Linked DNA regions of Rattus norvegicus. The protein of the gene in region 1 purifies or fractionates together with the protein of each later gene. This does not show direct contact. Links are inferred from orthologs where the notes say so. Each region holds a gene or a part of one and is shown in the gene's direction. Other genes may lie near its edges. The genes, in order: Riok1, Coprs, Eftud2, Clns1a and Wdr77.

Evidence for each region.
Region 2: the proteins of Riok1 (region 1) and Coprs purify together in Homo sapiens (affinity purification with mass spectrometry; 3 studies listed by BioGRID and IntAct, with this or other methods). This does not show direct contact. The link is inferred for Rattus norvegicus from reciprocal best matches to the Homo sapiens genes RIOK1 and COPRS.
Region 3: the proteins of Riok1 (region 1) and Eftud2 purify together in Homo sapiens (affinity purification with mass spectrometry; 3 studies listed by BioGRID). This does not show direct contact. The link is inferred for Rattus norvegicus from reciprocal best matches to the Homo sapiens genes RIOK1 and EFTUD2.
Region 4: the proteins of Riok1 (region 1) and Clns1a purify together in Homo sapiens (affinity purification with mass spectrometry; 3 studies listed by BioGRID and IntAct, with this or other methods). This does not show direct contact. The link is inferred for Rattus norvegicus from reciprocal best matches to the Homo sapiens genes RIOK1 and CLNS1A.
Region 5: the proteins of Riok1 (region 1) and Wdr77 purify together in Homo sapiens (affinity purification with mass spectrometry; 5 studies listed by BioGRID and IntAct, with this or other methods). This does not show direct contact. The link is inferred for Rattus norvegicus from reciprocal best matches to the Homo sapiens genes RIOK1 and WDR77.

What each region holds. Positions count from the first base shown.
Region 1 is NC_086035.1:26,974,258-26,979,727, reverse strand, and holds part of Riok1 (serine/threonine-protein kinase RIO1), read left to right. Parts: intron 1-1,831; coding exon 1,832-1,897; intron 1,898-2,850; coding exon 2,851-2,970; intron 2,971-4,270; coding exon 4,271-4,324; intron 4,325-5,442; coding exon 5,443-5,470. UniProt on the Homo sapiens protein: Involved in the final steps of cytoplasmic maturation of the 40S ribosomal subunit. Involved in processing of 18S-E pre-rRNA to the mature 18S rRNA. Required for the recycling of NOB1 and PNO1 from the late 40S precursor.
Region 2 is NC_086034.1:82,420,289-82,427,078, forward strand, and holds the start of Coprs (coordinator of PRMT5 and differentiation stimulator), read left to right. Parts: upstream 1-3,191; 5' UTR 3,192-3,217; coding exon 3,218-3,286; intron 3,287-5,620; coding exon 5,621-5,687; coding exon of another isoform or gene 5,688-5,691; intron 5,692-6,790. UniProt on the Homo sapiens protein: Histone-binding protein required for histone H4 methyltransferase activity of PRMT5.
Region 3 is NC_086028.1:88,338,447-88,344,474, reverse strand, and holds part of Eftud2 (116 kDa U5 small nuclear ribonucleoprotein component), read left to right. Parts: intron 1-22; exon of another isoform or gene 23-101; intron 102-1,812; 5' UTR 1,813-1,816; coding exon 1,817-1,921; coding exon of another isoform or gene 1,922-1,922; intron 1,923-5,855; coding exon 5,856-6,021; intron 6,022-6,028. UniProt on the Homo sapiens protein: Required for pre-mRNA splicing as component of the spliceosome, including pre-catalytic, catalytic and post-catalytic spliceosomal complexes. Component of the U5 snRNP and the U4/U6-U5 tri-snRNP complex, a building block of the spliceosome.
Region 4 is NC_086019.1:161,443,054-161,449,081, forward strand, and holds part of Clns1a (methylosome subunit pICln), read left to right. Parts: intron 1-98; coding exon 99-197; intron 198-978; coding exon 979-1,086; intron 1,087-2,373; coding exon 2,374-2,547; intron 2,548-4,345; coding exon 4,346-4,413; 3' UTR 4,414-4,434; exon of another isoform or gene 4,435-4,438; intron 4,439-6,028. UniProt on the Homo sapiens protein: Involved in both the assembly of spliceosomal snRNPs and the methylation of Sm proteins.
Region 5 is NC_086020.1:196,128,690-196,134,717, forward strand, and holds the end of Wdr77 (methylosome protein WDR77), read left to right. Parts: intron 1-1,352; coding exon 1,353-1,423; intron 1,424-1,546; coding exon 1,547-1,601; intron 1,602-2,039; coding exon 2,040-2,111; intron 2,112-2,729; coding exon 2,730-2,838; intron 2,839-3,298; coding exon 3,299-3,367; intron 3,368-4,097; coding exon 4,098-4,257; 3' UTR 4,258-5,164; downstream 5,165-6,028. UniProt on the Homo sapiens protein: Non-catalytic component of the methylosome complex, composed of PRMT5, WDR77 and CLNS1A, which modifies specific arginines to dimethylarginines in several spliceosomal Sm proteins and histones.

The sequences.
Region 1 (5,470 bases):
ACAGCTAGGGTTCCCTGCAAGACAGACGCCTGCGTACTGCTTCTGTGGTTGTTGTCTGAGTGTATCCTTTGGTCCCCAAACAGAAGTCCATTTGTGTCTTTGTTAGTCTTGTCACTTCTGAGTCGGGATTCTCATATGTCCTCTTTCCCAGGAGTGCCTTTCCCCCTTGGTTCTTGTTCATCTTGCTGTGTCTGGCAAATGTTAAAACTCAGGTCAGACAGTTGTCTCAAGGAGATTCAGGAGGAACAGTGGTTTCAGGGGCATTGTTTTCTCTCTAATTTTTTTTGAGACAGTGTTTTTTATACACCGGCGTCCTCAGACTCTATCTATGGCCAAGGATGGACTTGAACTTGCGATTCTCCTGCCTGTTTCTCCTGCGCTCTGAGATGATGACTGTGCCCCACAGCAGTTTGTGGGTTAAAGCAAGGGCTCAGCGAGTGCTGTGCCAACACTCTTTGCTCCTGAGCACACCTCCAGCCCGTTTGTTCGTTTCATTTGTCTCTCTGGGGGTTTTTGTCTCCTTCAGATAGTCTTACTTTGTAGCCCCATCTCACCTGACCTTATGCTCCTCGTGCTGCTGCCTCAGAAATGCCAGGGTCATGGTGTACCACCGTGTTTGGTAGATTATGAACTCTTGATTATGTACTAGGCAACTACATCTTGTCTTAATTAGGGTTTTTATTGCTGTGAAGAAAAATCTTGACCACAGCAACACTTAAAAAGGAAAACATTTGAGGTTGGCTTACAGTTCAGAGGTTTAGTCCATTATCTTCATGGCAGGAAACATGTAGTCTCACAGGCAGACATGGTGCTGGGGATGCAGCTGAGAGGTCTGCATTGGATCAGTGGGCAGCAGGAAGAGAGAGTGAGCCACTGGGCCTACCTTGAGCTTCAGAAACCTAAAAACAACACCTTCAGTGACAGGCTTTCTTAAACAAAGCCTCTCCTACTCCAACAAGGCCTCATGTCCTAATCCTTTCAAATAATGCTACTCCTTTGAGTCTGTGGTAGCCATTTTCATTCAAACCACCATACATGTATTGACTATCAAAGTATTTTTATCTCTAAACCATTAGTATACTTTAAAAAAACCAGAAAATAAATGTTCTTTCCTCTCTATTTCTGAAAGATATTTTTACTTTACTGTGTGTACCTATTGGTATGTGCACGTGCATGCATGTGTGTGTGTGTGTGTGTGTGTGTGTGTGTGTGTGTGTGTGTGTGTGTGTGTGTGTGGATGCTTGTATCGCCAGAGGCATTGGATCTCCCTGGAGCTGGTGTAGCAGGCAGTTCTGAGCTCTCCAATGTGTGGGTACTAGGAATTGAACTCTGTTCCTCTGGAAGAACAGTCTATGCCCTTAACTATTGAGCCACCTCGCTGGCCCTCCCTGTATTTTAAAGTCAAGAACCCTGTAAAGTCAAGGAGCCTCTGTCTCCTTCCAGTTACTGTTACTCAAGCGACTTTGTGGGTGATTTGAGTCTCAGTTTTCTTCTGAGAAAGATTTCTGCTAGTAGTTTAAAATTAAGTTTAAAAAGTTCATTCTTCTTGTCTTGGCCATGAGTTGGGTGTGAGTGATGCTGGTGCTGGGGTTGTGGGATTTGTAGATCCCGGGCAGTGCTCCACCACGGAGACTTTGAAGAAGGCAGCAAAGGTGACTTGAGACTAGAAGGGTTTATTTTAGTTTTTAAAATGGCTGGCAGGTCTTTGATAGAAAGCCAGCTTACACCATAGAAGATGTGAGGCCTGTAAAGATGAGAAAAAATAACTAATTACATAGTAGAAAATGTGTCTTCTAGGGTAAATGTAAAGGAAATTTTTTTTCTTTCAAAGGCTATGGAAATAGCATCTCAGAGGACCATGGAAGAAAAGACTAGCCAAGATCATGTGGATGAAGAGGTGGGGTTATTATGTATTCACAGCCTTGGGGAACATTTGTGGGTTTGCTTGGAACTCTGGGGTGTTCTGTTGTGTGTTTTGAGACAGAGTCTTCATATAAACCAGGCCGTCTTAGGACTTGATATGTGGTACAGGTTGGCCTCAAACAAGCACTCACTCTGCTTCGGCTGCCTGACGGTTAGAATTATGAATGTGTGCCATCATTTCCAACTGATTCTCCTGTTATAGGATTTATCATGGTTTTGTTTTTGTTGGTAAAGCATGAGCTTGGTTTTTATTCAATTATATTGCTGTACTCAGCAACCTTTTAGCCTGTTGTTCCGGTAGAGTTTTAAAAGAGCTAGTGGGGTGTGAGTCAAGAAGGAAAAGCCTATTCATTTGCAGGTGTGAATTTTTAAATGACCTATGTGCTGATTGTGTAAATATAACAGACTTTAAATACTTGGTTAAAAATTAAAATCAAACTAGTCTAAAGAAGTCAAGAAATCTTCATTAAGGTCCACAATCAGCTTATTATTATTATTGTTATATCTATTATTATTTTAATTGTAGCTTATTCTTAGAAGTTTGTGGAAGCTGAGTTGAGATATTTCTACACAGAGAGAATACTGGGTATTCAGTTTCTCACAGCCAGGCTGTCCTTGCTAACTGTTACTCCATCCTGTCCTTCCTCAGATGCATTTTGAAATGTGCATGTATGGGAGGAGTGTTACTCTAAGGGTCATTGGGAATACACTCTCTTTCTTCCCTAGGTCAGTTGTAAAATCTCATTGTTGCTTACCAAATTGCCTTTGGCTTACCACATGGCAGGCACGACACCAGTGTGTATACAGGTTGAGTGAGAGTCGGCGTTGGCAGTGACAGTACGTTCCTGCGTGATTGACACAGCTAAGGGTACTGAGGGGATGGGAAGAGTACAGGAATAATGGTTTAATTTTGCTTTCCTCTATTAGGTGTTCAAACAAGCATATATTCCCAGAACCTTAAATGAAGTAAAGAATTATGAGAGAGATGTGGACATAATGATGAGGTTAAAGGAAGAGGACATGGCTTTGAACACTCAGCAGGACAATGTGAGTGGCTTGGTGCCAGTGAGTGTCAGCTCCCTTTGTGTGGACATGCTTCCATACCTGTTGGCCATAAAGGGAATGCTCCTTGGATGTAAGAGAGGGGTGCTGTATCTGTAGTGTCTGGAGAACTATAGTTAGTAAAAAGGTGAGGTCTAGGATTAAAAATGGTTGTAGTAGATTGATGAAGCTATGCTTCATTTTCACACATATTTGAAGGAATGTTTACAATATCTTTATCATTTTTAATTAGGGGGGTGGTATGTCACATGAGGGAATGCCAATGTCCTTAAAAGCCAGAGGTGTTAGGGTCACTTGGAGCTGGAGTTAAGAGGGATTTGTAAGCTTCCCTGCATGGGTGCTGGGAACCAAACTGGGTCCTCTTCATGAGCAGAATAAGTTCTTAGCCACAGTGCATCTCTCCAATTCCCTTGGAGGGAAATTATTGTTAATGGACCAGAAAGTAATATTTTAGGCTTTGCAGCCATGTAGCAAAATTTAGTTGTTTATATAAGTTTTTATATAAAGAGCAAAGCAGTGTTTTCCAGATTTTCATGCATGAAACAAAAGTATGAAAAATATATTACCATGTGTGTTAGACATGTGTCAGCTAGAGCATGCATGCCATGGTGCCTGTAGGAAGGCCAGAGGCCAGCTTTGTGGGATCACGTGTCTCCAACTGTATGTGTCTTCTGCAGATCATAGTCAGGTTTTATGACAAGTTCCTTCATCTGTTGAGCTAGCTCTCTGGCCTAAAAGCACTTTTTAAAAAAATATTATTTATAGATTTGCTGTGTGATTGTATGTATACATTTGTGTGTCCTCAGGCCAGAAAAGGGTGTTGGGGCCCTTGGAGGCGTCTAAGCCACTGAATGTAGGAGCTGGGATCCCCACTCTGATCCTCATGCCTGAGCAGCATGCACTTTTAGTCACTAAGCCATCTTGCCAACCCTTGGAAGCACTGTTAGTAATAACTACAACTTTTGCCATGTAGCTCTGTTGGTGAGAACAGAATAGGACTGTTTGTGGAGTGAGTACCATTTCACTGAATGAAGTCCAAGTTAGTGTTCACTGTCATCTGGGGGTTGCAGAGCTTACCTGAAAACTCTCGGGTTTGATGGTTGAGCCTGTGGAGACGCCTGGGATACCAGAATAATGCAGGCTCCTCTCTGTGTTACTGTGGTAGACTGTGAGTGCATTCTGAGTCATAGGATTACTGTTTAGTCCATGCTTAATGGTACAGTATATACATGTTCTTGTCTTTTATATATATTATGCTTATATTTGTTTTCCTTTTGTTTTCAAGATTCTATACCAGACTGTCACAGGACTGAAAAAAGATTTGTCAGGAGTCCAGAAGGTATGGACAGCACATGTTGTTAGTGCTTTATAACGGAGTTTATTCCGTAAATCCTGCATTTATTTGTGTGTGTGCTCACAAGTGTGTCACAGCGCATGTGTGGTGATCAAAAGATATCTTTGGGGAGTTGACTCTCTCCACCTCATGGGTCTTTGGGATCCAAATTAGATTGTCAGGCTACCCGATGAGCCATCTTGCCAGCCCGTGGAAACTCTTTTTGAAGTTTATAAGAGTTTGAAGATATAAAAGTTACAGTAAAGTGGTATTAGAATTAAATTTGGACACGTACTTATTCTGTCTCTGAATTCTTCTGTTAGAAGTGAGATATTTGTCATTAATCCTGGTTGTCTTTGATGCTGGAGTAATTAATGATAGCCATAAACCTTTTTAGTAGTTTTTAAAATCAGTCTTGAAACATGTCAGGGCTGGCTCAGCCATCCAGAGCTCTTGCTGCTTTTCCAGAGGACCTGAGTTCTGTTCCCAGGACCCATTCACTTACCTGTAAGACAAGGAAATGGAAAAAGAAGGGAAAAAGTTAAATAACTTAATTTCAGAGAAAATGAAACTTCCTCTTGATTGACTGTTCATTTTGGTTAGATTAGCTTATTGCTAGTAATGTAGTACACAGGCAAACAGTTGTGAAGTCACCCAGATAGATATTACTACTATGACTACCACCTATGTATTTCTCATTCTTTACAAATCCCAGCTCAATTATCTGTCTTGCTTAAAGTGGCAGAGTCGTGTTGTTAATTTAGGCCAGCCATATAACCCCGGCAATGAGACATGCATGCCAGGATAGCTGTGAGTGTAACCCAGCTGTATAACCCCGGTAATGAGATGTGCATGCCACGGTAGCTGTGAGTGTAACCCAGCACATTTGTAAAAGGCAGCATCAAAAGGTCCAACACCCCTGCTAATCCCTTTGTGTATATTCTTGAGTCCTACCAGAGTGAATGATGTTACCCATCTTTCTCCCTAATGCTGATTCTGTTTTGATGTTTCAGTGCATAACCTGAAAGAGTATCTGACATACTGATGTAAAATGCTGGCATTAATTTGTTGACCAACAGATAAGTACTTGGCTTCAGGTAACATTGTTCTATAATAATTTCAAGGTCCCTGCGCTCCTAGAAAGTGAAGTTA
Region 2 (6,790 bases), on another chromosome or scaffold:
AAGTTTACATACAGATAGAGTACTCAGCCATTAAATGAATGAATGAACGGATGGATGAATGAATGAATCTAAAGAATTCCAAAAAGCAAAAAGAGAACAGGAAGAGAAATGAGTAGACCAGAATTCAGGAGTGGCTAATGTCACTAAATGTTGATTAAGGCAGGGGAATGACCAACTGTCAGTCTCCACTTCGTGTATTGATTTGCAGCTGTGTCCTCATTAAACTGCTACAGAGGCACTGGGCTGGGTGTACCCTTATACATACAAGACGTAAAAGGCTTTCTGTCCTTGTAGAAGAAGACATTTCATCCTTTTTAGTTTACAGAAAACTATTCATCTTCAGTCTTGGTTTTTTTTTTTTTTCAGGAAAATTATGTTGTTCAAGGAGGAGCAAGGAAGCTGTGTAAGCGTGTCTTGTCTGGGAAGATAGGTCCGTGATTTCTAAATTACACCAGTGCTTGCTATTTTAAAAGCTTGTTAGAATTCGGTGCAGATCGCTCTTCCAGTCAGAGTGTGGGGGCTGCACTCGGAAAGCAGGGAGACGCTTGAGACAGACAGGAAGACCCAGATTTCTAACTGAACTTGGGCTATACAGCAAGACTCCTGTTTAAAATAAAGCTAGAAGGCACGTAAATATTTCTGATTCCTTAGTCCAACCCTTTCTCCAAGCTGCTGTAGGGATGGTAATCATGCAATGCGAAGCAAGTATCTCCTGGGAAACATGTTAGTCGTGTGTGTGTGTGTGTGTGTGTGTGTGTGTGTGTGTGTGTGTGTGTATGTGAGAGGGAAAGAGAGAGAGAGAAATGTGTGTGCATATATGTGTGTGAATGTGAGAGAAATGTGTGAATGTGTTATGTGTGGAATGTGTGTGTATACATGTGTGTGAATGTGAGAGAAATGTGTGTGTACATGTCTGTGTGAATGTGTGTGAATGTGTTGTATGAAATGTGTGTATGTGTGAAATATATGTGTGTGTATGTGTATGGATGTGTGAGGGAAGTGTGTGTGTACATGTCTGTGTGAATGTGTGTGTGTAAGTGTTGTATGAAATGTGTGTGTGGATGTGTACCTAAATCCAATCTGCTCAGTCTATACCGTGTTACTTGTATGTGTATCTGTGTTTCAGGGCAGACCATCGGGTACTGGTTAACCAAAGGTGCTCTTTCCTGGGAAGACTGCTTCTCCCACTCTCAGCATCCTTAGTTGCCTGTGTGCAGGGTGGAGCTCTGGGAGCTTTCCCCTACCCGTGTCTACTGGTCTCATCTTTGTCCAGCTCATGATCAGGCAGTTATGTTGGTGAAACTGTCTAGCTGGGACCTCTGACACTTCTAAGAGACACAATGGCACAGAAAACTGTTACTTAGGCTCCTACATTGTTTCCACTCGCTCTTCTGCAGAGATCCTGAGCCTCAGGTGTGGGAGTTGTATTGTAGATGTTTCTGTTGGTACTGGGCTCCACAGCTCTGCGTGTTGACTGGTTGTGGTTTTCTGGAATGGTCTCCATCTGTTACAAAGAGTTTCCTCGATGAGGACTGAAACTGGACTTGTCTGTGGGTCTGAGGACAGATATTTAGAGTAATTAATTATCATGTATTTAAGTATCATAGTAATTAAGTATCATGCTGGTTTCATAACATGGTGGTTGTTGCTTTTCTTCCAAGAGCCACACTTAACTGACACCGAGCAGTTGGCTGGGTTTCTGGTACTTAGTATGATTCCCCTCTTGTCGAGCAGGTTTTAGGTCCAATTAGAACGCTGTTGGTTACTGCCGAGGCATACACACCATTACTGCTCTGTGAGGATTATTGTGCCGTGCTGGTCACTGTCGTGGTCCATAGGTCTCATAGCTAGGTAGAACTATCCGTTGTTTTCCTCCGTTGGAAGCTTGCATAGCATCTTCTGGAATCATGAAAGCTGATCCCTCAGGGAGGAGGCTTTCAGCTAAGTTCCAGTCAGGGGCCTCTGGACCCTGCGTTTAAGTATATGGTGTCTTCAACCGTAGGAACTTACTTTTCACCTATGAAGGTCAGCCAAGGGCAATAGCAAGAGCCTATAATATATTGATAGTCGTCTCTTGGACAACCTTCGCCAGCAACTTAAAGGGGTGTATTCACGCCTGGTCTTGGGATTTTTGTTAGACGGTTGATGGCTCTTAAAGAAGCACTGTTAGCCCAGGTGGGAAATTTTCATCTCTAGTATTTATGTCTATGTATACGCCAACTTATATGTGTAGTAGACATGTGTTGTTGCTGGAGTTTAGGCTGTTGTGGGGGAGCGGAGGCAGTAAAGGCTGTCTCTGCAGCTGGGTTGTTCACACACACACATACACACACACACACACACACACACACACACACACACACACACACACACACACACACTGCTATCTCCAGCTAGCCGCTGACTTATGTTTTTGAGGTATTAGGGGGAAACCAGACTGTACACTGTAGGACTTTGACCACTAAAGACAGCTTTGTCAGTTTCTATCACCCAACGGTTTTGAACTGCGGGAAGGGGGTTGGGGGAGGGGGTGTTAACAACCCGTGTCCGAAGTTAGGTTAGTTACCCGTACTCAATATGCCAGTAAAAATAGCCAGATTAATCATGGAAAGACGAAAATGGAAAACGGAGAATTATAACGGAGAATTATTCAACATAGTCACATTACTGACTTGGAGCACTGGCTTTGACTCCAAATTCGATGACACACCACGTTTTGTGGTGGCACGTAGTTTGTTTTGATCCTTTATCCGGGTTCCTAGCGGATTGGCTTTAAAGACTATCCTTAAATCAAAGCAGCAATTCTCCAGGCTGCTGAGTTACTCATTAAGAGATGCTGTAGTGCAGGTGCAGAGGGCGATCTGGAAAACCGTGTGATGGGGAAGAGCGAAAGTGATGGAGCCCAGAGGCTGTGACTGTGTGACAGCCGGGTGGGCTCTATATGCTCTCGGGTCATTTCACACTGCGGTTGGGGAGTCCCGGGTGCCTAGGAACGCTCAGTGGCCAGTCTGGCCTAAGGCTCTTCTAAACCAGCGCTTGAGGTCAGATAGGGCTGGAAAGCCTGCGGTCCGGAACAACGCAGGTGGGCGTGTCGTCCGGCGCTGCCCCTGCGCCGCCCCGCCCCCTCGGTCGCAGCGCCGCGCCGATTGGCTCGCCCGCAGCCTGTCAGCCGTCACGTGTCGGAGCGTCCCGGGCGCCTGGCTGTGGGCGGCCCGGCATGGACCCTCAGGCAGCCACCGGTCCGGGGCCGGGCGAGCCGAGTGCATGGGAGGCCCCCAGCGCGGAGGTGAGCGCCACGGGGTGGGGGATGCGGGCACCCGCGACCACCCGGGCTGGAAGTCGAGGGGCTCGAGCGCTCCGGAGAGACCGCTCACCCGGGAAACGCCGGGGCCGCGCGAGTGCGCGCAGAGCCTGTCCGGTAACGGCGGTGGGCGCGGAAACGCGCGTGGACCCGAGCCCTAGGCTGTGGCTGGCGCGGGAGGGAGAGAACACCGGGGCTTCTCGGGAGCTCCTGCGGGAGTGAATGCAAAGAACGCGGAGCTGGCCGCCCCGAGCTGGTTCCAGCAGCAGGGGGCCGGGTCAGGCGGGAGCGGCGAGGAAACATCTTTTTTTTTAACCTTACCTTGAGGACCTCTGGCCATTGATAGGGATGTGCCGCTGATGTCACCCGTGCTTTTCCCCATTTGACAAAACGAAAGAGCCCGTCGTGTTACGGGGTTTCCAGAAACTTGTTTTCAAGTGCCCGCCAATGCAGCCTTTTCCCACGACCTGCCCTTATTGCGTCTACCTCTCCAGTGACTTCTTGACTGTAGGCATCCTTTTTACCAGAAGCCACGCCTGTACCTGGCACAACGTATATGCTAATTGGGTGTATGAGTGGAATGCTTACTTGGACATCAGTACTTGTACCATCAGATGGTACTTGAAGCGACAGCACCAATAGATTTGCAAAGAAAATTACTTTTGCAAAATAGAAAGTCAGGGCGGAGCTGGAAAGGATGTTTTTGGGTGAGAAGGTAGGCCCAGCAAAGGTCTGGATATGAGAAAGTACGGGGCAAATGGCCTTGGAGCTTGGGTCGGAGGGCAGGCCTTTTTCAGGAAGAGGACTGTGTTCAGCAAGTTGAGGAACGTGAGAGGCAATATGGATGCCATCGCCAGTCTGTGATGGCAGCAGAGGGCCTGTGAAGGTTTTGAGTGGAGGAGTGATTACACTTGCTAAGAGTGAGCAGGAGTAGAGAGATGGGCATAGGTTCACATAAGACGTTCAGCTCCTAGGGGGGCAACAGTGGCCCATGGTTATCACTGACTACAAGAGATGAATTGAGCTGTTAAAGCTCAGGAGTGACTAGATAATGAACGCTAATTTGGGTGAGTGCTAAGTACAGTTTACATGCAGGATGAAGGGTGCTTAAGGCCGGAGAGACAACCTTGGTGGTCTTACAGAGTTCGGCTTAGTTCTCCGCACCCACAACAGATGTCTCAGCCCTCTGCAACTCCCTCTCCAGGGATCCTCCTGGTAGATTCGCACATACAATTATATACAAATAAAGTAAATATATAAATAAATAAATAAGTGGATTAAAGTCAAAGAAATGTTACCTCCTTGAAGTCTTAACAGGTGGTTTTGTTATTGTTGTTGGCTTTATTTTATTGTAATTTTTTTTTTTTTGAGATAGGGTCTCATGTAGCCTAGGATCTGAGCTCACTTTGTGGCCAAGAATGATCTTAAATTTCTGACCCTTCTGCCCCTCCCTCCTAGATGCTGGGATTCTGAGTATGACCCACCTGTAGTATGTTATGTAGGGTTGGAAAGTCAGTGTGGAGCTTTGTGCACACAGGGCAAACACTCTCCCACTGAGCTCTGTCTCCAAGCCATAGTGGATGTTTTATGAATGTCCCTTCATCATAGGACCCCTCCCAGGACATAACAACCATTTCTGTTTCTAGAGGTCACACCCTGAATGAATGGCAGGGCTAAGACTGAATGAACTCTGCCTGACCATCCACGCTCTGGACATTACGGGTTCCACTGCAGAGAGATCTTGGGGGGAATAAAGTTTGGGGAACTTTGAAGTAACAGGGCATAACATTCCTGGTTGGCAGTGGGGATTAGGTATTCCTTCCAGTGTTTAGAACTCAGGCGGCTTCCCCCATGGACCACTGCGGGCATGGCTTTGTTAGGAGTTGTTAGACATTGAGACAAAGAACTGAAAAAGGCAAAGGTTTGCAGAGAAGTTGCAGGATCGGGAAACAGCAGTCAATCCTAGCCAAGAAGAAGAGAGATGAAGTTAGGGCAGTTGAAGTGTTCATAAACTTAGAGGAAAGAGTTTCCACAGACCTGAGGTTACAAACTGAGTCCAGGGAGCTGTCCCATCTAGCCTCAGGGTCTGTGAGCTTGGGGAAGTCCTGCTGCCCAGACTTCTGAAGAGGGCCCAGGGGTGAGAGCAAAGCCAGCATCTGTCAGTTGGCCACTGCAGGAGGGCACACCCAGTGGTCAGAGCGGAGAAGTGCTGCTGGGTGATGCCTTGCGCAGGGCAGTATGGGAGGGAGGGTTTGGGGCTTCAGAGCAGTGACACGCCCCACATACCCAGTTTCCTGGTGATTATTTCTTCTTCCACAGGCTGGTCTTGCCACAGCTGACCTCTCTGGTGGGGAGACAGAGACTGAGCTAGACGTGGACCGACTAGGCAAGTAGACGGTGGAGACTGGGGTGTCCCCTGGAAGAGATGGAGGGAAACAGCACGGTCCCTCTGTCTTGTCTGTCTTCTCGTGTTGGCCAGCCCTCTTTGCCCATTGTCTGAGTGGAACTGTTGGTTTGCAAGCTTCCAGGAGGTACTGGATGCCCGTGGATCCAAACCACCCCATTTCACTGGGAGGAACAGCTTGAGACTATGAAAAGCATCTGGTGTGTGAAGCTAGGAAAAGTCTCCGTTACACATCCAGGTTGAGTTAGAAGATCTGTAGTGATGCTACCCAGGATACTCGCCACCGTGTAGTTCCGTGATGCTCTGCTCCATCCTGGAGGAGAGTCCTAACAGGCAGTGCTGGTCTGTACAACCTGGGCACAGAATGGGTACGGCCAGAGCCGGTGCCGAGTGCACACTGTATTTCAGGCACAGATCCAGCTGTCCCCCCCCCCCCCAAATAAACTCACAACAACCTGATGACTGTTTCACCAATGAGAAACTTAAGGTGCATAGTAAAGTCTTAAAATGCAGCAAAAGACATATAACTTGTGTTTACCATTAAACTAAATTACAGCATATGATCTGGTTCATTCAGCTCCATGACAGTGTGTACAACTGTCACAACTACGGCTAGGATGTTTTCATGGCTCCAGAAAGAAGTCCTGTACCTGGAATAAACACTTTCCACTCTCTAGTTCTTGAGCCCCTATTGATAGCTTCCCCCACCCCTAATAATTTACCTATTATGCACATGCAAGTGTGAATTTACAGTAAGTGAAATTATACAATACATGGTCCCTCATGGCCCGGCTTCTCTCAACTCAGCACATTTCCAAGGTCCATTCCTGTAGCAGCCTCTGTCAGCACCCATCCCTCACGAGACTGAACACGTCCATCAGGTATCCTGCATTTTGTGGATCATTCATCCTCTGATGACATGACATTTGGTGATGGAATGGTGTCACACTGAACTTCTTTTTGTCTGGAATGTGTTTTATAGTTCTTGTGTGGGCACTGTTTCGAGTAGAGCTGCCAGGGCGTGTGGTGATTCCGTGTTTAAGTTACTGAGGAGTCAGGACCTTCAGTGTCGAACAGCTCAGGAC
Region 3 (6,028 bases), on another chromosome or scaffold:
CCTCCCATTTCCTGTAGGAAATCGCAGACACTCACACTACCAGATGGGGCTTTTTCGTGGGTTTCCAGGATTGAACCCAGGCCGTCAGACTGCATAGCTAGGTACATTCATCGCCTTTCTAAGGTCTTAGGCTGTGATAATTCACTCTAGGGAGGTAAATGCAGTTCCACGAGTTAACATCATCGTTAGAGATGAGGCTGAGATACGATGATGGAGTGAGGTCGATGGAGCGAGGTCTTTAACTCCAGGGGCCTGATGCTTTTCCCCTGCTTCGGTTTTTGTTGCTCACAAACTGTAGAGGAGTTGTTGGTGAGAATAACAGTAGTCACCTAGCATTTGGGACAGAAGATACTGAAGAGAGTGAGAAGTGAGAGGCTGAAGGGCTAGGAAAGCTTGAAGGGTGGGATCTAAACTGTTCCTTTGAGCAGGATATCAGTCACTGAAGTGGGGGAAAAATCCACTGGAATTGCAGACAATTGTAAGCTAATGTGTGGATGTTGAGACTCGAACCTGGGTCCTTTGAAAGAGCAGTAAGAACAATGAGTTCTTAATCATCACTAAGGGAAAATGAGTACTTTTATAACAAGCATGTCCGCTGTCAGCATAGTTGAGGGCACAGCGAGAATCATCAGTGAGGAATGGTGTACCGCTAAGAGCAGATGCAAATCCACACGAAGGGATTGCTGATACAAAGCATTGCTTTGTGGTCTGAAAATGTCAAGTCGTGAAAGTCAAGACTAGAAAGCCATTCTAGATTAAAAGGATAAAGATACCTCAGGGTGTGTACAGTCCTGGTTTATGTCCTTAGCTGTATAATTCATGACTGGAACAGTTTTTCAACTTGGCATTAGGTAGAATAACCTGCTGGTATTGATGTTTTTGTTTTGATGATTGTATTGTGATATTTTGAGAACTTTTTTTTTAAAGTAAGATGCTGGAAAGATGGTTTAGAATTTAAGAGTAACTTCTAGGCAGCCATGAAGACTTGGAGTCAGATCCTAGCATTCACATGGCAATCTTCATGTTCCCAAAGGATCCAATGCTGTCTTTGGAGACATGTGTATAAAATTATACATAGACAAACAGACACACACACACACACACACACACACACACACACACACACACAGATAAGTTTAATTGATTAAGTAAATGTAGAAAGGGGAGGTGGACTAGGCATTAGTTTTACACCCATTATGTCAGCACTAGGGCAGAGACACAGGAAGGCCAAACTGGGTAGCAGTGAGAACCTATCTTTAAGGGTAAAAATAAAGCTAAGTGTGACTGAAAAGATGGCTCAGTGGTTACGACCACTGGCTGCTCTTTCAAAGGACCCAGGTTCAACTCACATCGTACTCATTAGCTGACAATTGTCTGCAAATCCAGTTCCAGGGGATCTGGCTTCTGTGTGTGACATGTGCCTATGAGCATGGGACATAGATATACATGCAGGCAAGACACCCATATACAGAAAATAAATAAATAGAGCCGGGCCTGTGCCTATGTTTATAATCCCAGCACTTAGGAGGCTAAGGCAGGAAGATCAGGAATTCAAGACCAACATGAACTTCATAGAGTTTGAGGCCAGTTTGGGCAACAAAGAGGCCTTGTCCCTAAATAAAGGATGTTTGTGGGCTGTAAGTAGATAGAATGGCCAGGGCAGAGAAGTGGAGAAAGGTTGCCCTCTGGGAACACTAGTCAGTAGATTGGTCAGTTACCAGGCGACTCCTGCCCATATGGTGGGAAAGGTAAGGGTGTGGGGCAGGCCCTCGTTACCTGCCAGACCCTAACTCTCCTGTCCTTGAACTGTAGCATCATGGATACTGACTTGTATGATGAATTTGGGAATTATATCGGACCAGAGCTTGATTCTGATGAAGATGACGATGAACTGGGAAGAGAGACAAAAGATCTTGATGAGGTAAAACAAACACTGTTTCTTTACCCCTCTCGTTCTACAGACAATGTTCCCACAATGACCTGCATGCATCTCTAATGCTTCCTAGGGGTTGAGGGGTGGATTTCAAGACTGTGTGCCCTGGCTATCCTGGAACTCACAGAGACCAGCCTGCTGCTGCCTCTCGAGTGCTGGGACTAACGGCATGCGCCACCAATGCCCAGCTACTGTTGAATAGTTTGTATGACTTGTACTGGGAGAGAGGACAAGGGTTCAAACGTGAGCAAGTGAGAGACAGTTTGCATTCAAATAGCAACAGGCATCCAAAGTGGTTTATCTTTTAGCATTAATCAGAACTCAATGAGTAAAACGTAGATTTAATGAAAGTAGGGTCTCACTGAATGATTTTAGTGAGCACGAGAGGGGGCGGATAAAAATAGACACTTCATGATATAAATGTATAAAACAGTCAAACAGTGAAAAACTGTCTCATCCCATTTCTTAGTGCTGGATGGGTCTGGATTTGCAAGGGGTTTAACTTCATGGGACAGCAGGGATGGGGACAAAGTCTGGCTGCCATCGGGCTCCATAAAGGAAAATGTTGCTCAAGCTAGAAAGAAATAAGCATTAGGAAAAGAAAGTTGAAGCTGCCTGTGGGTTTGGTGAAGGAGACAGCTTGCATCTTCAGTGTGTTCCTGTCTGCAGGTCCGGAGGAATTGCACCCTGGTGGGGCGTTAGGGAAATCTTGAGGTCAGCTGAGAGCCACTGTGGTGATAGAGCTTCGGTGTAGGCTGCTTCCCTGGTGTGCACAAGGTACACTGGATTTAGTCCTCAACACTGCCAAGATGGAGGGTGGAAAGGAGAGGCCGTGGAACAACTACAACAACAAAAAAGGAATTAAGTAATTTCTCTTAAAATGGAATTAGAGCTGAGCTGTGGTACCTCATGCCCTTAATCCCAACAACTCGGAGGCAGAGGCAGGTGGATCTCTGAGTTCAAGGCCAGCCTGGTCTGCAAAGTGAGTTCTAGGATAGCCAGGGCTACACAGAGAAAACTGTTTTTTTTTTTTTTTTTTTTTGAAGTGGGTTTTTTTTTTAAGATTTATTTATTTATTATATATAAGAACACTGTAGCTGTCTTCAGATACACCAGAAGAGGGCATCGGATCTCTTTACAGATGGTTGTGAGCCACCATGTGGTTGCTGGGAATTGAACTCATGACCTCTGGAAGAGCAGTCAGGTGCTCTTAACCGCTGAGCCATCTCTCCAGCCCCCGAGAAAACTGTTTTGAAAAAAAATTTTTTTTTCCTTTTTTTCGGAGCTGGGGACCGAACCCAGGGCCTTGCGCTTGCTAGGCAAGTGCTCTACCACTGAGCTAAATCCCCAACCCCTTGAAAAAATTTTTTTAATTTAAAAGATTTTCTTGGGGCTGGGGATTTAGCTCAGCGGTAGAGCGCTTGCCTAGGAAGCGCAAGGCCCTGGGTTCAGTCCCCAGCTCCGAAAAAAAGAACCAAAAAAAAAAAAAAAAAGATTTTCTTATATGAATTGATGTTTTCTTAAACAGAAAAATCATGTCTTGAAAGAGAAAAAAAAAGCTATTTGGAGCTCTGATACATAGGAGTTTGTAAGAAGGGTGTTCATTCAGGAGGGAAGGAGCACAGGGAGAAGGTCCACAGGTAACTAACTGGTAAACCATCTTTTCTCCAGATCGCCAAAGTCTAGTACTTAGAGGACAGCTGTGGCTGTGTAGCAGAGGAGGTGGGTCAGAGAGTTGAAGGCCCCGAGTAGAAAACAGATAAGAGCCAGATGAGGCGATGCAGCCTTGAATTCCAGCAGAGACCCAGACTGCACTTCATGGCCAGCCTGGTCCACACAGTGAGGTCCGGGACAGCCAAGGCTGCACAGTCAAAGCAGAGTGCTGGAGTTCTTCTTTCAGTGAAAGGGGGTTAGAGGCCTGACAACCAGCCAGGGCTTGCAGTCCTGCCAGCAACCCTGTGAAGGCGGGGGCTTGGGCCTCCACTCGAGTATGAAGGGAGAAGGGGAATGAGGATGCTGAGGAGCTAGAACGAGACAGACAGACGGACAGACAAAGGGAACGCTAAGGGTGCTTGTTAGCTTTATTCCAGGCTCCTTTGAGCTACTGCATGCTCAAGTAGAGATGGTTAGAGGAGGTAGGAGTTATTACATAAAGCCCACGGCTCCCTTCCTAATGCATTCAGCTGTATGGGACAGAAGACTGGCTGGGTAGCTATTTTGGAGCCATTACCAGTAGGATATGTTTGGCTGCTGAAAGCGCTGATGTAATCTTGGGCTGCTTTAATAGAAGCAGAATATACAGATGGCAGGAGGTGGCCAGGCAGCCACCACCGCAGGTATTTGCATTCTTTTCTAAAAAACAGGTTGACATTTTGGAATTTGTGTGAAAGAAAACAAACGCCCACCACTGTATCTACCCACTTCACTGCACACAATGCCTTCCGCTCTGTTCTTGTGGACAAATTGTTTTCTAGTCAGCCAACTCCCATCCCCCTTCCCCTCGCCACTCAGGGCCTTCACCCATCATTTTTCCTCCCTTTCCTGCTCCAGCAGCTTTTCCTCACTAGTGGGTCATCCCAGGCAGTGTACAGCATGTTGTCTTACCTTAAAACCTTGGCTCTGAGCACGGTGGCAAATACAGAGGCAGGCGGATCTCTGAGTGCACGTCTAGTCTGAGTTCTAGGACAGCGAGGGTTATAGAGAGAAACCCTGTATTAGAAAAACCCTTTGCACATAATTCTAGCTAGGTACGTAGTTCAGTGCCAGCCTGGGCAACTTAGTGGGGCCTTCACAGATGCATGGTGCAGTTACCACATCTTTCCCAAGTTACTACAGTAGGTGCCTAACTAACCTTCCCCTCTGTGTTCTCAAGGTGGAAAGGGTGGGGTATGTCGTCCTCCTGTCCCCTATATGCACAGACAGTGTATAGGTTTACTCCCAAGACACTGAGCTATAACGGCTGCTACAAATTACCCTAGTTGAAAGCCACCCTTCTAGAACAAATAAAGTCAGGACCAAGGACAACAGCTCAGTTGGCGTACAAGCACAAGCACCTAAGTTCAGTCCCTGAACCCATGAAAGTGCCAGGTGTGGCAGTGTGCTCTTGTAGTCCCACTGTTGGAAGGCAAGAGACAGGTGGATCCTGAGCAGGTCACAGTGAGAGACTGTCTCAAAGGAGAGAGAGGGTGTTTTTGAGGCCAATACCTTCCCAGCCTCCACACACGCAAATGCACTAAAAAACAAGGTGGGAGGGGGTGTCTCATCACACTACTTAAATAATCCAGAAGGTTCTCTACCGTTACCTCCTATGTGACTTCAGTTTACTCTCATCCCAGTGTTCCCGCCTCTCCTAAATGTGTTTCGTCACAGCAGTGGGAAGCCTAACTAGGGTAGCGTCTCGGACTAGAATGGCTTGGTTGGATTTCGTGTTACACTGAACGTGAAGAAGTGCGGATCTTTCCAGAGCAGCACCACCATTTCCCCACCCAGCACGTGCAGGCTGCAGCTTTTTAAATCCTAATCCTCACCAACGCCTGTTTTTGCCTGCCATCGAGATAACTTTTCAAAATCAGTTTTGTCAACCTAAGTGAAAATTTAAAGATACAAGTTTGTTCCTAATTTCTACCTCTGGCTTCTGATTTTTGTCCTTGGAGAAAGTGGATTTTGGGTTGTTTTTCTCTTAATTGGCAGTGCTGTTTGTTTTCTTTAATCTCAACCCACTGTGGCCAGTCTTAATGGAATCAAGAGTGGAACAAGTTTGATGCAACAGAGCTGGCCATAGCCAAGACTCCCAGAGTCCCTTGAGGGGAGGGTCTTCCAGCGGTAGGGAACCCCTCACCAGCACAGGGCTTGAAGGAAGATTCAGCTGGTTGTCAGGCAGGAAAAGGTACCTCTCTGTCCGCCCTCTCTCTCTTGTCTTTAGATGGATGAGGATGAGGACGAGGATGATGTGGGCGAGCACGATGATGACCACCCTGGGATGGAGGTGGTGCTACATGAGGACAAGAAGTACTACCCTACAGCCGAGGAGGTGTATGGCCCTGAGGTGGAGACCATAGTCCAGGAGGAGGACACCCAGCCCCTCACAGGTATGGC
Region 4 (6,028 bases), on another chromosome or scaffold:
GCATTCTGTACATAAAGCTTATACTGGCACACATAAGTAAAGTCTTAAGAAAAACTAACTCTTAATGTCTAAAAAGGTTACTTTTATTTCTTTTATAGAAGAATCAAAAGAACCTTTCTCTGATGAAGATGAGGACGACAATGATGATGTTGAACCCATTTCTGAGTTTAGATTTGTGCCCAGTGATAAGTCAGCATGTGAGTGTTGTGATACTGATCTTTTCTCCATATGTCCCCTCTCCCATTGGTAAGCACACACCTCTCCCCTTCATTACCGTTACCTCCGTTCTGTTGCTTTATCCTGTTTAGTCTCCTTAAAGTCATTGAGCAGGTACTTATTACTGTCCCAGGTTGTGGATACAGTAAGAATACTGTGACTAGCATGGTATCTGGTGCACTTTGTGCAAGGAGGACTCTGGTCAGTCTGATTGACTCTGTTGACTCAATGTCAACGGCTGGAAACACTTCCAAAGTTGAAAATGTGGAGATTTTTGGAAAGTATGTCATGTGACAGAGGCTTTTTCCTAATTAGCAGTGTGACCAACATCTCTGACCTTTTTTCTTTACTCTTTCTTTTCCCTTTCTCTTTCCTCTTTTCAACAGGGTCTCTCTATATAGTCCCAGCTGTCCTGGAACTATGTAGACCAGGCCTTAAACTCAAAGAAGTCTGTTTGCTTCTACCTTATGAGTTCTGAGATCAGAGGCCTGACCCACAACACCTGGGTTGGCCTTTTTTTCTTAAATCCAGCCACCAATGAAGAGATATTATAATGTCTTGAATCCTTACTTTGTGACTTATTCATTGTCTTCAAGCATTTTCCATGGTCAATTTTCATTTGAATTTTATAGATTTTATAAATATAGTTAGCCTAGTAAACCTTTTGTCTGCTTTTAAATTGGTTTGTAGCAGTGGTTATATTTATTCTAAAACTCTGTGGTGCACTGGAAAAAGTATTAGTTACAGTTTCCTGTCCTTCAGTGGAGGCGATGTTCACAGCAATGTGTGAGTGCCAGGCCCTGCATCCAGACCCTGAGGATGAAGACTCGGATGACTATGATGGAGAAGAGTATGATGTGGAAGCACATGGTCAGTGACTTGGGTCTCAGGTTGGCGTTACTGTTTCATTTTAAGCATGTGCTAAGGGCATACAATTTTTAGGTTTTTTTTTTTTTTTTCTATAAAGGAACCCATGTAAAATGGCTGTAAATAAAGGTCCATTAGCATACTTGGTGTCTCGGCCCTTTCAGCAGACAATTGGGGAAATGAATGGCTTTCCCAAGCTCAAACAACAATAAGATATTAGGGGTGGGGAATGGATAATAGAAACAAATGGGAAAGACAAGGACAGCTAGAAAGTCGGTGGTCAAGAGCATACCTCAGTCTGAGCTGGCTGTCCCTACCCTCCCCACTGAGAAATCTGTTCATGTATATCTCTTTAAAGTTGTGTTTAATTTGCTTATCTTACATGTATGAGTGTTTTGCCTGGATTCCTATATGTGCCCTCTGAGGCCAGAAAAGGGTTTTGGAACCCCCTGAGTTTGAATTATATGGTTGTGAACTGCTAGCTGGGTGCTGGGAACCAAACTGCAGGCCCTGCAAGAACAGCAAATGCTCTGACACCACCGAGTTGTCTCTCTAGAGTTCTCTTGATATCGCACTTTAATTTCCTTTTCCCTAAACCCATACTTCATTTATCCACAACTATTTTCCACTGCCTCCAGACCAGAATGTGCTCCCTTGCTCTGGTAGGTTGCAACCTAAGGCACAAACGGTCTCTTTGGCACCAGTCTGGGCATCTACAGTTCTTTCCTACACAGGAATCCAGTTCCCAGCCTAAGACTACCCATTTCTGGAATTATTCTTCACATACACAAATATGTTCTCATTTCTTAGAGATTTTTTTAAGTGATTTTCTGTTTTTGTCCCTTTTATATTCTTTTAGATTTTCTGGTTTTTTAAAAAAGGAAAAATATGTTAATTCAAAATTCTTTCAGTCAAATTTTGTATTTATTCACTTATAAAATTCCCACCTTGGAATATTCCCACCTTAGAATAATAAAGGATTCACCAATTTTAAAAACACCCTCGGGGCTGGGGATTTAGCTCAGTGGTAGAGCGCTTACCTAGGAAGCGCAAGACCCTGGGTTCGGTCCCCAGCTCCGAAAAAAAGAACCAAAAAAAAAAACCACCCTCTTTTCCTTCTGGTTTTCTAATTCTAATGGGTAGGGACATATTTTTCTTTTCTTTTTGGAACTCTTAATAATGACCCTATCAATAAATACCGGAAGCCTGTACATCTCCAGCAAATGCATTATTTATTGTCCACTGTCTTTTTTTCCCACTGCTGTATAAAATCGTGTTCTGTTTGTTTAGAGCAAGGACAGGGGGACATCCCTACATTTTACACCTATGAAGAAGGACTATCCCATTTAACAGCAGAAGGGCAAGCCACGCTGGAGAGATTAGAAGGAATGCTTTCTCAGTCTGTGAGCAGCCAGTATAATATGGCAGGCGTCCGAACAGAAGATTCAGTAAGAACTTACGAAGGTGAGTGCCCTTTCTCTTCACCTCATGTGGTGGTCATGTGGCGGTCCTGTGGCAGTCCTGTGCTTTCTGATCTCGAACTGCTTATGTGCCACACCCAGACTTAAAGCACATCTCTATATACTTCTCTTTTTTGGGGAGGGGGGGTCTATTTTGTTTTGTTTTTGAGACAGGGTTTTTCTGAGTAGCTTTTGGCTGTCCTGAAACTCTTGAAGTAGACCAGTCTGGCCTTCAACTCTGAGATCCACCTGCCTCTGCCTTCCTACTACTGGGATTAAAGGTGTATGTCACCCCCCCTTATATGTGTACATTTAATTCTTTTTAGAATAAAGTTTATGAAAAGTTTAAGGATAAGTTTATGATCCACATTTTATCCATTAGACAGCTAAAGCTCAGAAGGGTTGCATTGCTTGAGGTCAAACAGCTGATAAGAGGATTATTTCAGTGAACCATTATATAAAAGTAATATGCCTGCCATTGTCATCAGCACCTCTTACATTTTATGTGTTTAGTATATATTAGTATTTTATGCTCTAGGAACATTGTAACACTGTTGTTTTCAATGACTACAGGACATTGTTGAAGTGGCTTTAGTGTGTCTTCTCTGGTCCCCTTTCACTTCTCCCATGGTGCTGTGATCAGTATCACATGCATACAGCATATTGACCTGAGTTTTGGAGTTCTGGGATAGTGGCAAGGATGGGGAGATGGGGTAGGAATTGTATCTTACTGTATTGCCCATGCTAGACACAGACTAGTAAACTCAAGTAATTATCGTATCCCAGCATGCCTTACTCACATGTGGCAGGTGAAGAGTTGGGAGAGAGTCAAGAGTGAGAAAGTAAACAACTACAGATGGTTTTTTCCAGAGCACTTTTTTTTTTTCTGCCCTCCTCACATTTTTTTTTAAAAACTGTATTCTATGTGTATATGTGTTTGCCTGCCTGGATATCTGTGCTCCTTTGCATGGTTGTGGAAGCCAGATGCCCTAGAACTGAAATTGTAGACAGTTGAAATCTGCCATGTGGGTGCTACAAATCGAGCCTGGGTCCTATGAAAAGTCGACAGTGCTCTTATTCTTAAGTGCTGGACTATGCCTTTAGCCCTCATCCCATGCCATGTTAGTGAGATAATGGAAATGGGGAGATAAAGTTTGCTGCTGTTGTTTTTCTGCTCTGATTAATGCATTTGAAAATCCCTGCCAGCCAGACCTGGTGGCATGAACTTGTGATCCTAGCGCCTGATGTGAGCCCACAGGACGCAGTGACTTTGAGCTTGTCTAGGCTACATAGCTAAACATTCCAAATTTTTTTGGAAGAAAAGGCATAAATTGACTCCTGCCTAGGATTTGTGGGTTTGTATGTGTATGTGTGTTGATATTGTGGATTTACAAAGTTAGCTGTTTAGATTGATTTTTAATTTGACTTAAATCCACAGGTGGCTCAGATAACTTTGTTTTCAAAATAGAAAGAGTGGAATTGGAGGTGTTAGATAGCCTGAAGTGGTGGTCCACCTGCAGTCCTAGCCATGGGCCTGAGGTCAGGAGCGGAGGATAGCCTGAACTGCATGAGACCCTATTTCAAAAACAACAAAATGCCCAAATTTTTAAAATGCAGTTATTGTTTTTATTGTATTTTTTAGATTGGGTCTCACGTGTAGCTTAGAAGTACTACACAGACTAGACTGGCCTTAAACTCACAGAGTTCTATCTGACTGCCTCCCAAGGGCTGGGACTGCAACAGGGGACCACCATGCCAGGCCTTGCTGAGTCAAGTGTCTGAGAGAGTGTCTTTATGTACAGATGGCATGGAGGTAGAGACCACACCAACTGTTGCCGGACAGTTCGAGGATGCAGACGTTGACCACTGAGGATGACTCGTGTGACTTACAGTGAGTGAGTAGCTGATTCTCTCTCGTTACTGCATGAGGATCCCTGAAACGACAATGGGCTTAAAGAGTTCTAGGAAGGTAGCAGTTTTAAAAAATGTTATCCATCTCTGGTTACTGGAAATTACTTGGGTTTTGCCCTACAAACATCTTTTAAGTTCAGTTCCAGAAAGATATGACGCCCTCTTCTGGCCTCCACAGGCACTACATGCACATGGTACACATACATGCTGGCAAAATACACACACATAAGATAAATATATATATTTTAAGTTCAGTGTTTCTAAATTACTGCAGTTATAGAACTAACGATGCATGGTAACGATGCATGTTTTCTTCTAATGCGGCTATCAAAAAAATAGCCTTAGAGAAATTCTGTGGCTGTGTGGTTTATATCTCTTCCCATAAATGTTTTCCTTCCCTGCATTATTGCTGCTTTTGTGTAGTCTGTAGGCAGCAGACTCTCTGCTCACATCACTGCGAGCTTTCCTGGTGCCGGTTAGTTTTCCGCTCTCACAGTCCCAGACATTGATAACCCACCACCGACTCCAGGCCTGACCTCCCTTACTCATCATCACGTTAGTGACAGCTAACTGCCTTTGAAGGGAAGGGGCAGTGGCTAGCATTATAAGTTGTTAGTAGCCTGGATGGGAAGTTTTTCTTCTTTTTTCTCTTAGTGGATTTTTTTAAATTTACATTTAAATGTTATCCCCTTTCCCTGTTTTCCCTCCAGAAACCCAATATCTCATCCTCCCCTCCCCCTGCTTCTATGAGGGTAACTCTCTTATCCACCCACCCATTCCCCCCCACGCCCTGACATTCCCCTATGCTGGGGCATTGACCTTTGACAGGACCAAAGGCTTCTTCCATTAATGACAAGGCTATCCTTTGCTACATATGTGGATGGAGCCATAGGTTCATCCCTGTGTACTCTTGGGATGATGGTTTAGTCTCTGGGAGCTCTGAGGGGTCTGGTTGGTTGAAATTGTTGGTGCAAACCCCTTCAGCTCCTTCAGTCCTTTCTCTCATTCCTCCATTGGGGACCCCATTCTCAGTCCAATGATTGGCTGCAAGCACTCACCTCTGTATTTGTTAGGCTCTAGCAGAGCCTCTCAGGAGGCAGCTATATCAGGCTCCTGTCAGCATGCACTTCTTGGCATCTGCAATATTGTCTGGGTTTGGTGTCTGTATATGGAATGGATCCCCTCGGTGGGGCAGTCTCTGAATGACCTTTCCTTCAGTCTCTGCTCTACACTTTGTCTCCATATTTTCTCCTGTGAGTATTTTTGTTCCCCTTTTTAAGAAGGTCTGAAGCATCCACATTTTGGTTGTCCTTCTTCTTAAGCTTCATGTGGACTGTGGATTGTATCATGGGTATTCCAAGCTTTTGGGCTAATATCTACTTATCAGTGAGTACATACTATGTGTGTGCTTTTGTTTACTGGGTTACCTCACTCAGGATGATATTTTGTAGTTCTATCCATTTGCCTAAAATTTCATAAAGCCATTGTTTTTAATAGCTGAGTAGTACTCCATTGTGTAGATGTACCACATTTTCTGTATCCATTCCTTTGCTGAAGAACATGTGGATTCTTTC
Region 5 (6,028 bases), on another chromosome or scaffold:
CTTGAATGTTGACCTGGGGCAACAGGCAAAATGTCTGTTTGGGACTTTCATCACTTTTTGTCCCTTTGACTTTGCTTCATTAGTAGAACTAGGAGTTAAATTTGTTTGGTAGCAATTCTTTATGAATTTTGAGTTCATGAAGATAGATACTAGAGTGAGGGGAGGGTGGCAGGTGGTTTAGTCCTAAGGCAGGACTGTTCTGGCTGTTCTGCGAGGGCTGGTTAGACCACTTCAGGATTGCTTCAGCCTCCAGCTGACTGGTGACCTTCACTCATCCATTGGGTGCAGACCACCCAAAAGAATTTAAAGCTGTGCCCCACTGTACATTTTAAAATTGTTAACAAAAAGGTTTAAGTGGGGTGACTGAGATGGCTTGGGTGGTGGTAAAGGTACTTGCTGCCAAACCTGGAGACTGTTTGATCTTTAGAATCTATTTGGTGGAAGACTATAACTGACTCCCGCAAGCTTTCCTGGGACCTCCACATGTATGCTGTGGCACATGTGCACACATATATTTAATAAATGAATATATTTTTTTTAAAATTAGGTGGTTGCCAGGAAGTTAACTTTTTTGGCCTATTATGTATTGGCATTTCATTTTTTCTAATATTTTTTTAAAAGTCAGTAACCTATTTATAGAAACTTTACAAATAATGACAACCAATTTATTTGTACTATTAGCAGCATTAGAGTTCACTTTGTTTAGGAAAAAGTCCTACTTGGTTTGTTAACAGTTAGACAAGTCAGTTGGCTATGTCCTTAGTGAAACAACTATTTTGTATTTCAGTTCTCCCTGTTAGAAACAGAGAGACAGCCACAGAGTGACCCTGGTATTTGTGGGAGGACCGAGACAGCTTTGCTCCATTCACTGAGTCCTTTGCTCTTTGGCTTTTACTGTGAGAGCCTTAGGTTTTCAGGCTCTGAACTCTGGCTTGGGAAGACCTGGAAGGGCCGAAGGGAGGTATGGATGAGCTCAGCCTATAGGGTGGGAGACGTGTGATGGGAAAACAGGCAAGTTCAGTCTTAGGGGAAGGCATATTAGAAAACTCACGGAAGACAGCACCAGAACTCTCAAGTGTTTCATACTTAAGAGGTATGTGTATTGTTAATATGACATCGTAGAGTTAGTAAGCCTCTTCCTTCACACCATCTACATTGCAAACTCCTCTCTGCCTACTAAGCCTGCAATTGAACTTCATTGTTTTTACCAGTTCATTATTTCTGCCAGCCTTTTCCTGTTTTATGACTATTAACTTTGACTCTGTTGTAGTTTATAGTCTGTTATATTTATTGAATTATCTAATGAAGCCAGCTTGTTTCTCACACTCCCTTTGCCATGTTTCTTTTCACAGCTCATGCGGGACAGGTCACCTGTGTTGCTGCCTCTCCCCACAGAGAAACTGTGTTTCTTTCATGCAGTGAGGTGAGATCCAATGGCTTCTTCCCAACCATAGCTAACCCTTAGTAGGCCCAAATCCCTGGTCTGGAGCTTGGGGAGTAGATGCTGTTTTGGATTGTGTAACCCTTTCTCTATTCCTTTTCCTAGGACAGTAGAATTTTGCTCTGGGATACCCGCTGTCCCAAGCCGGCATCACAGATGGGTGAGTCTGAGCTCCATGGTAAGGAGGAAGTGGTAATGGGGCCCACGTGCAGGAGGCTTTTGCTGCTCACAGTCACAGCAGAACTCTTAGATGCCCACCCTCTGACAACACTGTTTTCTGTCTCACTGAGACTTTGCTGACCACAGTGCATGGGGTACCCAGAGTAAGGGTTAGTTTCCATGTGTAGTTTACTGTGCAAACAGCTGGGCAAAGGGTCAGGGTTATTATTTTTATGTCTTGTGCTTTTAGTTGTACAGGAGATGGCAGGAGATGGATGGGTAGATGTAGGTGTAGGCTCAGGGGTGAGGACATACATGACTGCTCTGGCAGTCTTTAAGAAACTCAGTGAAAGTGCTCCCAGGATTTACTGACTTCTTTTGGAAGAAGCTTCTTCTAGGTTGTGACCATTGTTCCAAATCTCCCTTTTTTCCCTTCCAGGCTGCAATGCCTCTGGCTACCTCCCTACCTCCCTGGCTTGGCATCCTCAGCAGAGTGAAATCTTTGTCTTTGGTAAGGCAGCATGACGTATCGACTCTGGGAATGGGGCGGATACCTTGGAGTACATGCTCCTGTCAGCACACTTGGGCACTGCATGGATTATGTCGGTTTTACCTAGCTTTGGAGACCATCATTTTTTCCTAATAGGTTTGCTTCATTGTTTCAGCTCCTTTATTCTGGGCATGGTTAGAAATCAGTGAGCTGCATAGCAAGTGCTTGCTGTTAGGGAACTATGTTCTGCTGTGGTGTGACTACACATGGCAAGAGTTTGTAGTTAATGTAATAACTTTATCCAGTAATTCACAGCCACATAGTGACTGACTGATTCTATATCACAAAGGAAACTGTTGTCTACATCTTGAGAAACTAGGATTCATTCAAATCTCCCATCTGACTGACATCAGTGTCTATGGCTTTTTTTTTTTTTTTTTTTTTTTTTCCCTTCAGCCAAGACAGGGTCTGTATGTAGATGTAGTTTGGACTGTCCTAGAACGTGATAGGCCCAGTTGGCCTTGAACTCTGAGATCCTTCTGCTTCTGCCTCTCATCACATACTAGGATTAAAGGTGTGTGCTACTTAGCCCAAATCATAAATTCTTAACCACTGTGACATGCTCTCTTTCTTCTACAGGTGATGAGAATGGATCTGTCTCCCTTGTGGACACCAAGAATGCAAGCTGCACCCTCAGCTCAGCTGTGCACTCGCAGTGTGTCACTAGACTGGTGTTCTCTCCACACAGGTACTGTTTGTTACCAGGAACCTGGAAGGGATGGGTGGGGACTGTAATGAAAGAGTAGGAGTGGAGTGATACAGGGATGTGTCTATTTGGCAAAGCGTTAGCTGCTTACATTGGACCTCAGATAGGGCAGTACTCTAACCTGGTTTTCCTAAGCTTGTCCAGATAGTCTTTATTTGGTTTGTGTAGTTTGGAAAGACCTAAGATGTAATCTCACTCCTGCTCAGAGCCTGTGGGTGGGTAATTGCTAATGTAGGGAGGACCCTTGGGCTGGTTGGTTTCCGTGAGCACTGGCTCTGTTCCATCTTCCTTGGATGTAATGGTGGTAAGATCTGAACCCAAAGTGGGCATCAGACTGCCCTCTCCCCGGCTCACTTTACAGTGGGGTTGGGGCTGGCCCTGTTAGATTTCGGTTGTAGAACCTATGGGCATTATCTTCTCTTCCCTTTGTGTCCTCTCCTAGTGTTCCCTTCCTGGCCTCTCTCAGTGAAGACTGTTCACTTGCTGTGCTGGATTCAAGCTTTTCTGAGGTGTAAGTTTGAAGTAGAATCCTGTGGTCGGGAATCAGGGATCAAGACCAGTAGGCAAGCAAGTCTGTTTTCTCTTCAGGAACATGCATGTAGAATTCTTCCTTTGTTGGGTCTGGAGAAATGGCTCAGCAGTTTAGAATACCTTTGTTTCTAACATCTGCATCAGTCTGTACATAGCTGTTTGTAACTCCAGATCCAATGCATATGATACCTGTGTGCGTCCGCACTCAGTTGCACACCCACCCACATGGAGATTATTAAAAATAAGTATAAATACAAGAAAATTCTTCATCTTTGTCTGCAGAGATATCCCCTCCCCCAAGTCGTCTCTGTTTGCAGCTGTGTGTCTAAGACCGAGTGCTGGAAGCTGTCTGATTGTAGGCTGTTTACCAAGCGCTCCAGCTTCATGCAGGGCGCCACTTCTGAGAAGTGGAACTTGCTGTAAAGCACTGGATGGAAGGCCTGGGTGTGTCCCTCTGCCATAATTTCCTGTTGACTGTGGGCATTATTGCTTCCGATTCTGTCCACCATTTCTTCACCTAAGAAAGTAGACTGGATTGGATAATCTAACATCCACTGGCCTGGTGATGGGGCTGTGTAGATGGTGAAATGTTTCAAAAAATGTGTCATAAGTGTATGTTATTAGTTTTTTTTTTAATTTTTTTTTTTAATCGTTCCTCCTGGGTTTTCATCTTTTCTCTTACCACACCACATTTTCCCCTCTTGTTCTAGGTTTAGAAGTCGAGCCCACAGAGACTTTGTGAGAGATGCTACATGGTCTCCACTCAATCACTCCCTTCTTACCACAGTTGGCTGGGACCATCAGGTCATCCACCATGTTGTGCCGTTAGAGCCTCTCCCAGCCCCTGGACCTGACAGTGTTGTGGAGTAGAATGGATTGCAGAAGAAAAGAGCCTTCTGTCTGCAAGTGTCGACTCGCTTGCCCCTGCCTTCCATTTGTGAGAGAGAGAGCACAGGAGCCTTGTAGAGCATGATTACTCCCTAGTCCCGTGCAGTAACTAGTCAGATTCTCAGCCTGAGGGAGGCTGCATCCCATAGTGACTTGGAGGAAAAAGCTTCCTTTATAAATGGATGTATGTGTGAGTACACGTGTGAGTGCAGTGTATAGTTTGGAGTGGAGAAAATTATCCTTCAGCTTTCCCAAAGCAATGCTCTTTACCCCCGACAAAATGACCAGAGGATTTTATGCTTCCCATGTCTGGGGGCTGACTATGTTGTTAGGGATATGGAGTGTGGGTATCCCTGGATGCTTGGGAATACTTCACATTACTCAGAGGTGCGTAACTTATTTTTATATAGAGTTTAATTCACTATATGGGAATTACTTCCCATATACAAAAGTCTAGCCAGACTACCTTGAGAAGACAGAACAGTTTTGTACGAATGCCTGTTAAATGGAATCAAATCCACTTTCTGGGTGAATCAATTTGGCCCTTGGAGTTCGCGCTCGCTCACCCTGTGTTCCTTCTTTTGTGTTGTGTATGAGAGATGAGTGCTTTCCTGTCCTAGATTTCACAGTTTTAGGGATGATGGAGTACTTAAATTAAAAGTGTTTCAGTGAAGCGAGAAGATTGACATGGATTGTTACAGAGAAATCTGTCATTGTCATTTTTCCCACCTAAAAATTCCCTGAGGACTGATCTGGGTACTTTGCTCTGGAGAGCTGAAGTCTGAGCGCTGTATATTTGGACTCCTAAGATTGAAGATCCGGCATCAGAGAAACTGTCAAAAATACTGGAAGGTGAAATAAAGACTTATCCTTTCATCTTTCCTCCAAAGCTTATTTATTACCTGCTTTGCTTAGGTGAGTCACCTGAGTATCAATCAGTCTTAACTGCCCACTGTCTTTGTAGTCTACTGTTCGCAGAACATCTAGAACTTATTTATTTATACTTGGCATTGGTGGACTAGGCACTCCGTTAGCAATTATGGGTCAGTAACTGATCTTATTAGAGCTTTACAACTTTGGTTTAGGAAAAGCACATAAAATGGGCGCCCTGAAGGACCATGAGCTTCCATTCTACTCTTGCCAGTCAAGAGCCTCTCGTGATCACCCTTGAGTAAAGCACTTGAATTTGCAGCCTGTGTCAGTCAGGACTTGGAATTTTACTAAGTTCCAGGGAAGGCGTAAGAGGGAGGTAGAATCAGTCTCTGCTTCTCAAGAGATAAAGCTTGTATTTTGTGTTCCTTAGGGAAGGACAAATTATCCGTTTACACGGCCTGCTTTGGCAGGGGGGAAACCTGAAGGGAATGAGTAAATAAAAGTTTGTTAGAATGGCTAAAATAACACCAAAGAAGAGAAATGAGGTTTTGAAGGATAAGGTACTCAGAAAAAGGCCTTCTAAAACTCATATAGCATCATAACACTGCTGTGTTTAGAGTATGGAGCTCTGGTTTTAAAAAGGTACTGCATTTGGACAGTGTATAATATCTTGTATTTTCTTTGTGTTTTGGTAGTTGTCTGGTTGAGCCCACAAAGTAAATGTGAATTGAAAAATATATTTTTTAACGTGTGTGTATGTGAAGGCTTAGGGCATCTACCAGAATCCACGTGTGGAGGAAGCTAAAGACAATTTGTATGTAATCAGCATTCATGTTGAGTTGCTTATTGCCAATACGGATAATGTTGGGGTTTGGGAGTT